Linked DNA regions of Ovis aries. The protein of the gene in region 3 interacts with the protein of the main gene of each other region in a pairwise test. Links are inferred from orthologs where the notes say so. Each region holds a gene or a part of one and is shown on either strand. Other genes may lie near its edges. The genes, in order: AKAP7, MYL6B and SPA17.

The links.
Region 1: the proteins of SPA17 (region 3) and AKAP7 interact in a two-hybrid assay, tested with the Homo sapiens proteins (3 studies listed by BioGRID and IntAct). The two-hybrid records come from large-scale screens. The link is inferred for Ovis aries from reciprocal best matches to the Homo sapiens genes SPA17 and AKAP7.
Region 2: the proteins of SPA17 (region 3) and MYL6B interact in binary tests that used the Homo sapiens proteins (3 or more experiments, as listed by UniProt). The two-hybrid records come from large-scale screens. The link is inferred for Ovis aries from reciprocal best matches to the Homo sapiens genes SPA17 and MYL6B.

Annotation. Positions count from the first base shown.
Region 1 is NC_056061.1:56,739,905-56,743,555, reverse strand, and holds part of AKAP7 (A-kinase anchoring protein 7), read right to left. Parts: intron 945-3,651; coding exon 797-944; exon of another isoform or gene 1-796. UniProt on the Homo sapiens protein: Probably targets cAMP-dependent protein kinase (PKA) to the cellular membrane or cytoskeletal structures.
Region 2 is NC_056056.1:163,382,454-163,386,695, forward strand, and holds MYL6B (myosin light chain 6B), read right to left. Parts: upstream 2,892-4,242; 5' UTR 2,865-2,891; coding exon 2,682-2,864; intron 1,961-2,681; coding exon 1,933-1,960; intron 1,720-1,932; coding exon 1,576-1,719; intron 1,357-1,575; coding exon 1,183-1,356; intron 657-1,182; coding exon 579-656; intron 425-578; coding exon 396-424; 3' UTR 387-395; intron 249-386; 3' UTR 152-248; downstream 1-151. UniProt on the Homo sapiens protein: Regulatory light chain of myosin. Does not bind calcium.
Region 3 is NC_056074.1:25,615,303-25,618,953, reverse strand, and holds part of SPA17 (sperm surface protein Sp17), read right to left. Parts: intron 3,204-3,651; coding exon 3,133-3,203; intron 1,370-3,132; coding exon 1,295-1,369; intron 1-1,294. UniProt on the Homo sapiens protein: Sperm surface zona pellucida binding protein. Helps to bind spermatozoa to the zona pellucida with high affinity. Might function in binding zona pellucida and carbohydrates.

The DNA.
Region 1 (3,651 bases), on a different chromosome or scaffold from region 3:
CTTGAGATATTTAGATACATGTTTTTATCTTCTCCATTTTCACATCACTTAAAAAGTATACAAATGATGTTGTCTTGAAGTTCACAATTTTATAAGAAGATTGCCCAGTTTGAAATAGTAAATTTCAATCACAACAGATCAGGTTCCTTTGAAAGACAGCCACATTGCAAACGAGAAATACCCCTGTTCTGGTTTTTCACATTCTTCCTTTGGTGTACATGCTCTACTTGGAAACATAACCGTGTATGAATCTGTCTCATCACAAGCCATCTCCCTCATAAGATGACAGAGCATTTATGCATGAATCTTGGTCTCCCCTCAAAACATATTTTTCTTAAGGAAGAAATTGAAAGACAAGTTTTCAGTCTCTGCAGGCCACCTATGCTTTTTCTTCTCAGAGTGAAACTTTCTGGCCTGGCATAGTCTATTCCCAATTAAAAGCAGCAAAGATGAAAATACCTGGCATAGAAGGCTGTGATCATATAGGCCTTCACTGATGAAAATGCTTTCTTCATATTCACAAAATAAAATTACACTGAAATGAATGTTGAATCAACATTTCAAGACTTCATGATGATTATATTTTAAAGCACAGAAGTATAAAAACTATAGGTACTTAAATCTTGACTGATAAATATAAATACTAACTATGTTCCACAAAATGTTTAATGTATTATTGTCAAAACATAATGTTTAGGAAAATATGTCACTGAGAAAAACATACAACATAAACAATTGCCAAAACAAAATGATGCTGAAAAATCAAAACCAAAGATAATTTTTAAATGCCACTCACCAATTACAATTGAAGACTCACAGTGATAATAGCCATTACTTTGCTTTTTCTTCAGCATGGAGCAAAGATCTATACAATGTACCACTTCTTCTCCAAATCTATGGCCGATAAATTTTTCGTACAATTTGGGGTCTATTTTTTTCACTCCCTTGAAATGACAAGACAAAATCACATCAATCAATCATCTCATTTAGGCAACCAATTCATATCTTTATCACTTTCTTAGAACCTGATAGTACATTTTGATATACAGTCCTGCCTGCTGGCATCTGAAAATGGATACCACAAAATTGCTGTAAAGTTGTTTTTAAAGTCTCTCTGCCTGGAATGAGTTGTATTTTTTTTTTTCAAATTGAAGAGTGTTGAGCAAAAATAATAAGGTATATCAAGTTGAAATTTGAGATATCCAGCAAAGAGAAATCATCTCCAAAGACAATGGAGAAATGGGAGAATTTTTCAGTGACATGGAACCTAACATTTTATAGTGTGTAGAACGTAACATTTGCATCCATTTTAATAAATGGATGTAATTTTTAAATTCCTTATGTAAGACTCATCTGAAAGACAATTAAAGGCTATTCAAATTGGAGTCAATAGGTCTTCCAAGTTTTTCTCCACCTGCCCCTCCTGATTCTGTGTGCTTTCATAGCAGAAATAGGGCTTGTTGCCAAAAAATTAGTAACTTGGTAGTTCCCCCAAACATGGGAAAGAATGTCTCCCTCTCCCCTTACTATACATGGTCCTATGCCTGCCTCATAGTCCCAAAACACAGTCATTGAGATGAAGATACAGTACTTTACAGGGCAAGTTTACTAGCTGGCCATGTGCAAACTTTTCCTTTTAATGTATATATATACATTTACATTGCCCTGGAAATACCTGTCATTTCTGAAACTCAGAAAATATAAAGAATATAGAAAAAAAAGAAAATGAAAAATCATTTATGACCCTGTTATTTATATATTAATAAAATACATTAACCCTGTGATATATATATTCTTCAAGTCTTTCTCTATGCATGTATGTTATTTTCAAATTATACTTACATAAATCTTACTAAAGTATAATTAGAATACGTACTTTCCCTTTTTATTCACAAAAATCACAAAAAAATTTTAAATGCAGATAGAAAACAAATTAAAACACACCAAACTACTACTAAAATTTTATGTATTTTATTTTTCCTATGCATGAGTTGTACCATGAGTATTATCTGATAATCAGCTTTTTTCAGTTAATATGTTAAATTGATAAGTAATAAATAAATGTGAAAAATATTTTTATATTTTCATAGTATTCCATTAGATGGAGATATAATTTATTCACTCAATTCTTTATTGTTGAACATGTTGGGGAGTTAAGGTCCTACATGCCTCAGCCAAAAAAAAAAAAAATATATATATATACATATATATATATATACACATATACATATAACATGGTTTTGTTGAGCTATGTGTTTCAACTGAGCTCCTGATCTTTCCTAACCACTTCAGTCAGACTTCCCCACCTCAGTTAACAGCAACCATGTTCGACTTGATCAGGCTGAAAACCTTGGGGTCATCCTTGATTCTCCTCTTTCCCTTAGCCCTACTTCCAATCATATCGCGTTGGCTCTACCTTTAAAACACACCCAGTTCTTACCACTCCCCTGCCACCTCTGTCCAAGCACTTCTGTTTCTTTCACCTCAATTACCCCAAGAGCTTCCTAACTGTTTTCCCACTGTTTTCTCTTTGGAAGTCAAACTGATCCTATGAAAACATACACCCAGATCATGTCATCCTCTGCTCAAAATCCTCCAAAAGGTCTCCATTTTTCTCAGAGGAGCCAAACTGCCCCAACCAGCCTGCAGGGTCCTGATCTGCTGTCTCTGGACCTCATGGGCCTCGTGTCCACCACTCTCGCCTTCATCCCTCAGCAGCCTCCCCAGCCTCCTCGCTCTTCTGTGAACAAGCCAGGCGGAACCCACCTCACAGTCCCTGTGCCACCTGTCCCCACCTCCTGAAACGCTCCTCCCCCAGATATCTTTATCATCCATCCTCATCTCCTTTAGTTCTCTGCTCAAATATTACTTTCTTAATAGGGCTTCACTTATTACCTTTTTATATAAGAAGATACCTAAGAATTGATGCTTTTGAATTGTGGTGCAAGAGAAGATTCTTGAGACCCCCTTGAATAGCAAGGAGATCAAACCAGTCAATCTTAAGAGAAATCAACCCTGAATGCTCAATGGAAGGACTAATGCTGTAGCTGAAGTTCCAATACTTTGGCCACCCGATACAAACAGATGATTCACTGGAAAAGACCCTGATGCTGGGAAGGATTGAAGGCAAAAGGAGAAGAGGGCAGCAGAGGATGAGATGGTTGGATAGTATCACCGATTCAACAGACATGAACTTGTGCAAACTCCAGGAGATAATGAGGGACAGGGAGGCCTAGTGGGCTGCAGTCCATAGGGTTGTAAAGAGTCAGATACAACTTAGCAACTGAACAATAGGGCTTCACTTAACCATGCCATCCCTCCTCCCCAAGCAGTCCTCCCAAATCCTTTCTCTTTTTCTCCCCCTATACATACTTATGTTTCTCCATAGCACTTACCATCTTCTAACATATTATGTAGTTCATGTTTATGTCACTGTCTGTCTTTCGCTGTCTTTCTCCATTAGAATAGGAGCTCCACACAAGGATTTTTGTCTGATTTTTATTCTCTGAAATATCCTCAGTCCCTTATAGCTTATGGGCTTCCCTAATAGCTTAGTCGGTAAAGAATCTGCCTGCAATGCAGGAGACCCGGGTTCAATTCCTGGGTTGGGAAGATCCCCTGGAGAATGAAATAGCAACCCACTCCAGTATA
Region 2 (4,242 bases), on a different chromosome or scaffold from region 3:
CAGAAACTGCAGAACAAGGTGGAATGGGGCGCAAGGAATCTGCTCCTCCGAGCAGCGAGAAAGTCAGAGGAGGTCGCATTGGTGGGTGCGGGTGGGAAGAGGAGCCCTCCCTTTCCCTCCCCCACCTCTAAAGAAAGCAAGAGTCGGAAGCTAAGGGAGGAAACGTCTCTTTATTTTGAAACAATAGCCTCCTAGTGGCAGGAACGTGCTTTTGCCTGGTGGGAGCCCAGCGTCCGACGCCACTGCACCTGTGGAAAAAGATGAACGTTGCCAAATCCTGCCGCTGTCGGCGCAGCAAGACACGGAAATGCACTTCCTTGCTTTTGTACGCAGGCAGAGGGACAAGAAGGAGGCTTGCCTCCCAAGGCGCAGTGAGAGTGCCGTACCTGCATTGCTCAGACGCTTAGGATGTGCTTCAGGAAGGCTGCAGAGAGAAGAGGCAAGAGGGGCTTCAGAAGCTGGCCTGATGATAACCCATCTGACTTTAGATAATTCAGGCTTCAGGATGCCTCCACCCACATACCTCGGGCCTCCTGCCTCCCTCTTCCCCAGTCGTTTCTGCTCCTCTGGCCCCTCACCTTCATAGTTGATGCAGCCACTGCTGTCCTCATGTCCTGCCAAAACAGACTCCACCTCCTCTTCAGTCATCCTCTCTCCTGGGCCCAGACACAGTGTTTTAGCCCCTGCCTTCCCTCCCTTATCAACCCATGCCTCTTTCTTCTGGTGGCACCTCCTCTTCTCCCACCCTGGAGACTTGCCCATAGTAACAGTCCCCCAAGAGAATTCCCTCTTTGTAGTGGGCATGCCTTGAATGTGTCTCTGAATCTTGCTTTCCATTTCACCTCAATTATAGGTGGTGAAAGCTTTGACAGACAAGGAAACTGAATTCCAGAGGATTAAAAAACAGACCATATCATAGAGTACAGCCATCTCTTCCTAAGACTGAAACTCAGATTTCCCACCTCGTTCCCTTTCCTCTGCCCTTTGGGAGACAGCTGCAGCCCACTCACTTTAGACTGAAGGAGGAAGACCTTCAGATCCTGTCCCTAAGGCTCTGACCTTCTCAGTCTCCTGCCCATGACCCATAGGACAGTAATCCCTCACTGGCTCTGCTTACTTGGCTAACCTTCTTAGTTCATCCCCTCCTCTCAACACCCCCAGGAGTTCTGGTCCCTGTCTCACCCAGGGTGGTGAGGACATGTCTGAGCTCAGCTCCCATGACTTTGCCATTCTGCTCTTTGTCAAACACCCGAAGCCCCTCCAGGTAGTCCTGGTATGAGCCTCGGTCTGGCAACTTGGCGACTGCCTGAAGCATGGGCAGGAAAGTCTCAAAGTCCACACGCCGGGACTTCAGCTCTGGAGATAGAGAGGTGAAGGAGAGGTTACTACAGTGTCACCTAGGACCCAACTCCCATCCCCACCATGAAGGGTTTCATCTGTTCAACATTCAGATATTTTTCTGCCCTTATGTTTGACAGTTTTTAAAGTCCTGGGACCCACCTCAGCATCCTTTATCACCTTACCAACATTCCACCACCAAACTGAAAACCCGCATTGTCCCAGAGGTGCCCTCACCATCACTCTTGGGGTATCCCATGACCCTGAGCACCTCGGCGTTGGTGGGGTTCTGGCCCAGAGCCCTCATCACGTCCCCACACTGGCTGAACTGGATCTTGCCATCCCCCACTCGGTCATACAGCTCGAAGGCCTCCTTGAACTCTGAAGTGTAAGGAGAGGTCAGTGTTGACAAGGGGTTCCCATCACCACCAACAGAAAGGAAATTCAGAAACAATGTGCTTGAGCTGGGCAGAACAGAGAACACAAGGAGCACTAGTGTGGGAGGTTTCAAGGTCGGGAATAGAGGTAGGGGAATAGAAAGAGGATCTGACTAGGGACTTGGGATGGACAGTGGGATCAGTGGCGTCTCCTCACCCTCCAGCTGGTCCTTGTTAAACTCGATCTGTGGAAGAGAAGAGCATGTGAGGAGAGATGACAGGACTCACTCAATCCCTCTCCAGCACTCCTCCCGACCAACTGGCAGCCACTTCAGGGGAGGGGCCCATAGGGACCAGGCTGGGAACCCAGCCATCTCAGTCCCATTCCCAGCTCCAGAACTTGGGAGAATCCCAAGAGGAGGAATTATTGGGGGGAGGGTTTCCTGGGAACAGGGTTAATCCCATGCCACCTGTTCCCCTCCCTCTACTGCCCTGAGCCCTGCATCCCTCACATAACTGGGGGCTGAACAAAGGCTAAATTTACCCCTGGCCCCCAGCTGTGATTGTCTAACAAGTCTGTCCTCTTCAGCCTTCCCTCCTGGGGTTCAGAGCTGTGGCTTTTCATATTGAATAATCAGACAGGCACAGGCAGCAGCTCCCCCCTTTCACCTTGAAACTGTCCTCAGAACCCAGATGTTCCCCATCTTACAGGCTCTGCCTCCAGCAGTACAGTGAGAAAGTGATGTACATACACACACATGTTATTGGTTAGAGGCAGAGGGCAACAAAGACAATAGAGTCATTAAGCTTAGATGCTTCCGGCGGGGGGTGGGGGGTACTAAGAAAACCCCCCACCATCATCCAGTGCTTACTGATTCCCTACCTTCTAGATACCTGCAGTCCCCTAGGCTACATCCCACTGTTGTACCGACTCCTCCATTCTCTTCTCACTTTTCAGGGACTTACCACCACTTTGGAGAGATCGATGGGGGGCTCCTGGGGTTTCGCAGGTTTCTCAATGATTAGAGGGACAGGTGGTGGTAGCTCAACCCTGGATGGAGGGGGCCCTACTGCGGGCTTAGCAGCAGGCTTGGAGGCAGCAGGGGGCCCCACTGGCTTCTTCACGGGAACATCCTTCTTGGGAGGCATGATGTCGGGTGGCCAAAGGACAGTGTGCCGATGGGGGCACCCATCTCTGTTTAAATAGCCAGGGAGTCTGGGATGTCAAGGGGCGGGGGCAGGGGCAGGGAGCCAGTTGGCTGGGGGGAGGGTGAGATAGAGGAGAGGTATGCCGGCTGCCCTCACTCCCCTGGCCTTGTGTGGTTCAGGACTCCTGCCCCAAGGTCTTCTCCCTTCTGTCCACCCCGCCCCAAATACTGACCAGAACAATGGCCCTTTGGGGGCCGGGGGAGGAAGTCAGAGACGGCCCAGAACGGGGGGGGGGGGGGGGGGGGGGAGTTAACTTTCAGGGTGCAGATAAGAGGGTTGCCAGGGGCAAACTGAAACAGGGGTGAGGAAGAGAAGGGGACCCAGAAAATTCCGACCCCCTGACTCGGAATAGTCCTTTTTCCTAGCAGCTTTAGACTCTTGAAGATGGAGGCAAGGATGGGGGCCTTATTAAAGGGGGGTCTGGGAGTAGTGAAAGAGGTAAAAAACAAGCAGGTCTTCCACTTCCCTCTTCCTATGGATGAGGAGCATGGTAGTTCACCCCACAGCTTATAATACTCGGTACCTCAAGTCCCTAACCCCCTCCCTCCCAGCCCAGAACTGGAACTGTGCACTGCACGATACGGAGAAAGAATAGTAATAGAAAGGCGTGACTCCCACCGATTGTCTCCTAGCCCCAGTGTTGTTTTAAGAGTGGGGATGGAGGGAAGGATTGAGTTCAATACCCATCACCCATACTCCGAAGAAAGGAACCCTTGTCCACAAGCCTATGGTCATTCAAGTCAGACAAATACGGGTGCCTGCTGAACCTGTAGGGACTCCATGGTGGCACCTGAGGGGAAAGGCAGGCTCTGAGAGGCAAAGGGCCTAATTTCTAAAATCTCTAATCCGTAAAGATGTGTGAGGTCCTCTGGGCTCCATGAGTATTCAATCCTCAACCAGAAGGATAATAAGACCCTGACTTGGCAGCCAGGTTGCAAACCTTGCTGTGGGCACTGGGGAAAGGTGGAAGTCAGGGGCCTATGAAAGAGGGGAGGGTTTGCTGGTTATTTTTGTACTGGGGGTAAAAAAGGCGATGATTTAGACAGCATTCTGAGGAAGACAGTAGTGATTCCATTTAGGGGTTTAGAGAGTTGATGCTGGGTCTCCCACTCGCAAAAAAAAAAAAAAAAACCATCTGAACCTCATTACTGCAAATCGTCTCATTTTAGGAAAATCAGAATCTCTCCTCTAGCCAGGAGTACCTCACACACATACACACACACACCCCTACACATACACACCCCTAAGCCTTAAATAAAGGAACGAGCCCCTCCCCAGCGCCCCAAAACTCACCCTGCGGGGTCCAGGTAAGGGGCGG
Region 3 (3,651 bases):
GAGTAGGACTCACTGAGTGAAGCCATTTAATTTGACTGTAATAAGTAATTCCCCATGAGAATAATTTCCCCATAACAAATTTCCTTTGTTATGTCTGAACCTTTACCACTGTGTGGTGGGGGCAGCCTCGATTAGTGAAAAGTTCCCCCAGTGGAAGAGGAATCTGAACGATCAAGGCTGAGACTGTGATTTTGGTCTGTTCTTCCCCTTGGGGAGATTTTTCCCATCTGTTGACAATCTTGGAAAATAAGATTTTCTTTATAAGCAGAAGAATAGTTTTCTTTATAAGAGGCAGGGCTAAAAATGATCCAGCAGTTAGTACGTCACTGTTGCTAGTTATCTAGAAAGCAAAATCATTATTTTCAGTTCAGTTCAGTTCAGTCACGTCTGACTCTTTGCGACCTCATAAATCGCAGCACCCCAGGCCTCCCGGTTCATTACCAACTCCCAGAGTCCACACAAACCCATGTCCATTGTGTCAGTGATGCCATCCAACCATCTCATCCTCTATTGTCCCCTTCTCCTCCTGCCCTCAATCTTTCCCACCATCAGGGTCTTTTCAGATGAGTCAGCTCTTCTTATCAGGTGGCCAAAGTATTGGAGTTTCAGCTTCAACATGACCACTGGAAAAATCACAGCCTTGACTAGATGGATCTTTGTTGACAAAGTAACGTCTCTGCTTTTTAATATGTTGTCTAGGTTGGTCATAACTTTCCTTTCAAGGTGCAAGTGTCTTTTAATTTCATGGCTGCAATCACCATCTGCAGTGATTTTGGAGCCCCCCAAAATAAAGTCAGCCAGTTTCCACTGTCTCCTCATCTATTTGCCATGAAGTGATTGGACTGGATGCCATGATCTTCGTTTTCTGAATGTTGAGCTTTAAGCCAACTTTTTCACTCTTCTCTTTCATTTTCATCAAGAAAGAGGCTTTTTAGTTCTTCACTTTCTGCCATAAGGGTGGTATCATCTGCATATCTGAGGTTATTGATATTTCTCCCAGCAATCTTGATTCCAGTTTGTGCTTCATCCAGCCCAGCATTTCTCATGATGTACTCTGCATATAAGCTAAATAAGCAGGGTGACAATATATAGCCTTGACGTACTCATTTTCCTATTTGGAACCAGTCTGTTGTTCCATGTCCAGTTCTAACTGTTGCTTCCTGACCTGCATACAGGTTTCTCATTATTTTAGCAATATGGATGAGACTGGATTCATATTTGAAGTATAATTTTAAATTGAGTGAAGTCATTTTTTTTTGTAGGAACCCAACAGTACATGGAAAATATAACTTACTAAGGCTGTCTTCTCTTTCACAGATGTCTGAGAATTTTCTTTTCCAGGCTCATGTTTTTCAGGCGATTCTTGCTCCTGGAGAGAGGGGAGAGGTCCAAATAGGTAATGTTTCCAAAACAATAAAGTCTTGGATCAAACTCTTTAAAGGTGATTAAAGATTAAATTATTGATAAGTACTAGAAATTAAATACATATTTTTAAACAAAGAAAGCTGGTTGGATAAACAAAGAAAACTCTCAAGGGAATAGCATAAACAAATAATAAGACCAAGGAACTGGTTAAAAAAAGTTTGACCTTCTGCTTTTGGAATGTGTGTAATATTGTTTTATATTAAAAACAAGCCATTGTCTTATACTAAAACTTCATATGATGCTGTAATGAACCTTAAACAAAGAATAAAAAAGAGATGCCAATAGTTCCTCAAATAGAAATGAAATAAATCCTATTTTGTTCCATAATGTGAAGTCAAGTTGACTTTTTAATGAAGTTTGCAAAGTAAAAACTAAGTCAAAAAAGTAAGTTTTGCTGTGGGGAAGGATTTAAATAGAAAAAAAGGAAACCAGTTCTATCTTGACATGGTTACTGAAATCTTCCTCCAGAAGAGCAGCATTGTTAATTCACAACCTATGGGGAGAGCTTCTTTAATTCATAAAACATAAATTTAAGGACTTATAAGCTAATCAAATAAAGCCTTTAGGATTCAAAAGAGAAGAAAAATTAATCTAAAATTGCTATGTGACTTAAGATTAAAAAATTTTCAACATTATTCCTTTGTTTTCAATAAAAAAGGAACACAGAGAATCTAGTTAGATGGAAATAAAAAGAACACCTCTATGTCTGGCAGGCACAAATGGATGGAACTTCACTTTTGAACTCATAGAATAAGTCTCAGTGGGATTTGCCCAGAAAATCCCCCAAATCTACTCTGTAATATCATCAAAATTTGACCTTTGTTTTCTAATTCTAGTACCTGCTGATGCTTCATGGCTAAAGTATTATCGTAGTTGTCTAAAGTAGTGCTTCTCAGGCTACATCCAGATTCTGGCGTACCTACAAGTTACTTTGTGGATCTTGTTAAAATTTAACTTCTGATTTGGTAGACCTGGGGTAGAGCTTGAGATTGAATTTCCACCAAGTTCCAAGTTGGTGCCAAAGACGCTAGATTACACATGGCCTTTCTCAACCAGTGTTTCTCATTGGAGTCATAAAACATAGAATGCTTTAAGTGATTATTTTCTCAGTTTTCCCAAGGATGGTACATAAACATAATCATTCTAGATACAAAGGAGAGACATTGATGCCTGACATGCAATGGATGCCTTAGGCTTAGGGCTTAATTATTTCGAGGAGCCTTGGTTGAGAAAGACTGGTTCTGAGAATGCTACTGAGAAGATGGGTTCAGACTCTGAATAGATTGGCTTAATAGAGAAGGCTCTATACCATCTTTAATTCTATTCAGTCTTTTGTAAGGTATCAACAATAATGAATAATTGTTTTATGTGTTTTATTTTATGAAATAGCATTCATTAGTTCAACCACTGTTTATTGCACATCTGCTATTGATAAGCACTGTGATAATAACATTTGCACAATAAGTGAAAGTAATTATTCTATCTCTTTCAAGTACATTTCTCCTGTTGATCATCTATAAATTTAAGCTCAGTATGGTACACGATTCAGATACCTTAGAAAAGAATTTATTTCCATTAAGAATAGCACAATTAAAAAGACTTCATAAGGTATTTGTAATGCCTTTCACAATATTCATGATTAGGCGATCTCTGTACTGGAGACAGAGAGAAGTATTAACCAAATCCAAAAGCTTATCAGGACCATACCTTGAATGCATGGTTGTTATAGAAGCGGTCATCAACCTTAGCCCCCCATTCTGCTGGATCAAAGCTGGTTTCTAAATAACAAAAATATAATTCCAGACTTACTTTGAAGTTCATTAAAGTAAATGCAGACTAGTAACATAAACTGCTTTCTTTTTCAAATTATAGGTCCTTTACTGACCCTTGAAAATTTTATTGACATTGTACAGAGCCTAGTGCTGCAGATATAACCAGTGATGATGATGAATTAAACATCAGATGAACCCTTGAGGATATTTAGAAAGGCAGGCAGTTAAAAAACCTACTTGATGCTTTCATAGAAGTTATAATAAAATGGGAGTGGTAGAGAACAAATGCCACTACTTAAATATCAGTATAGAAATGTATTATTATATACTTATAGAAACTTATTATGTATTAGTAAACATAAGATAAATGTATAAAAATAAATGGTGAATAGTGAGGAAATTTGGAAAAATGAAAGATGGGAAAAGTTTTTTCTTAAAAAAAGGTAGGCATATT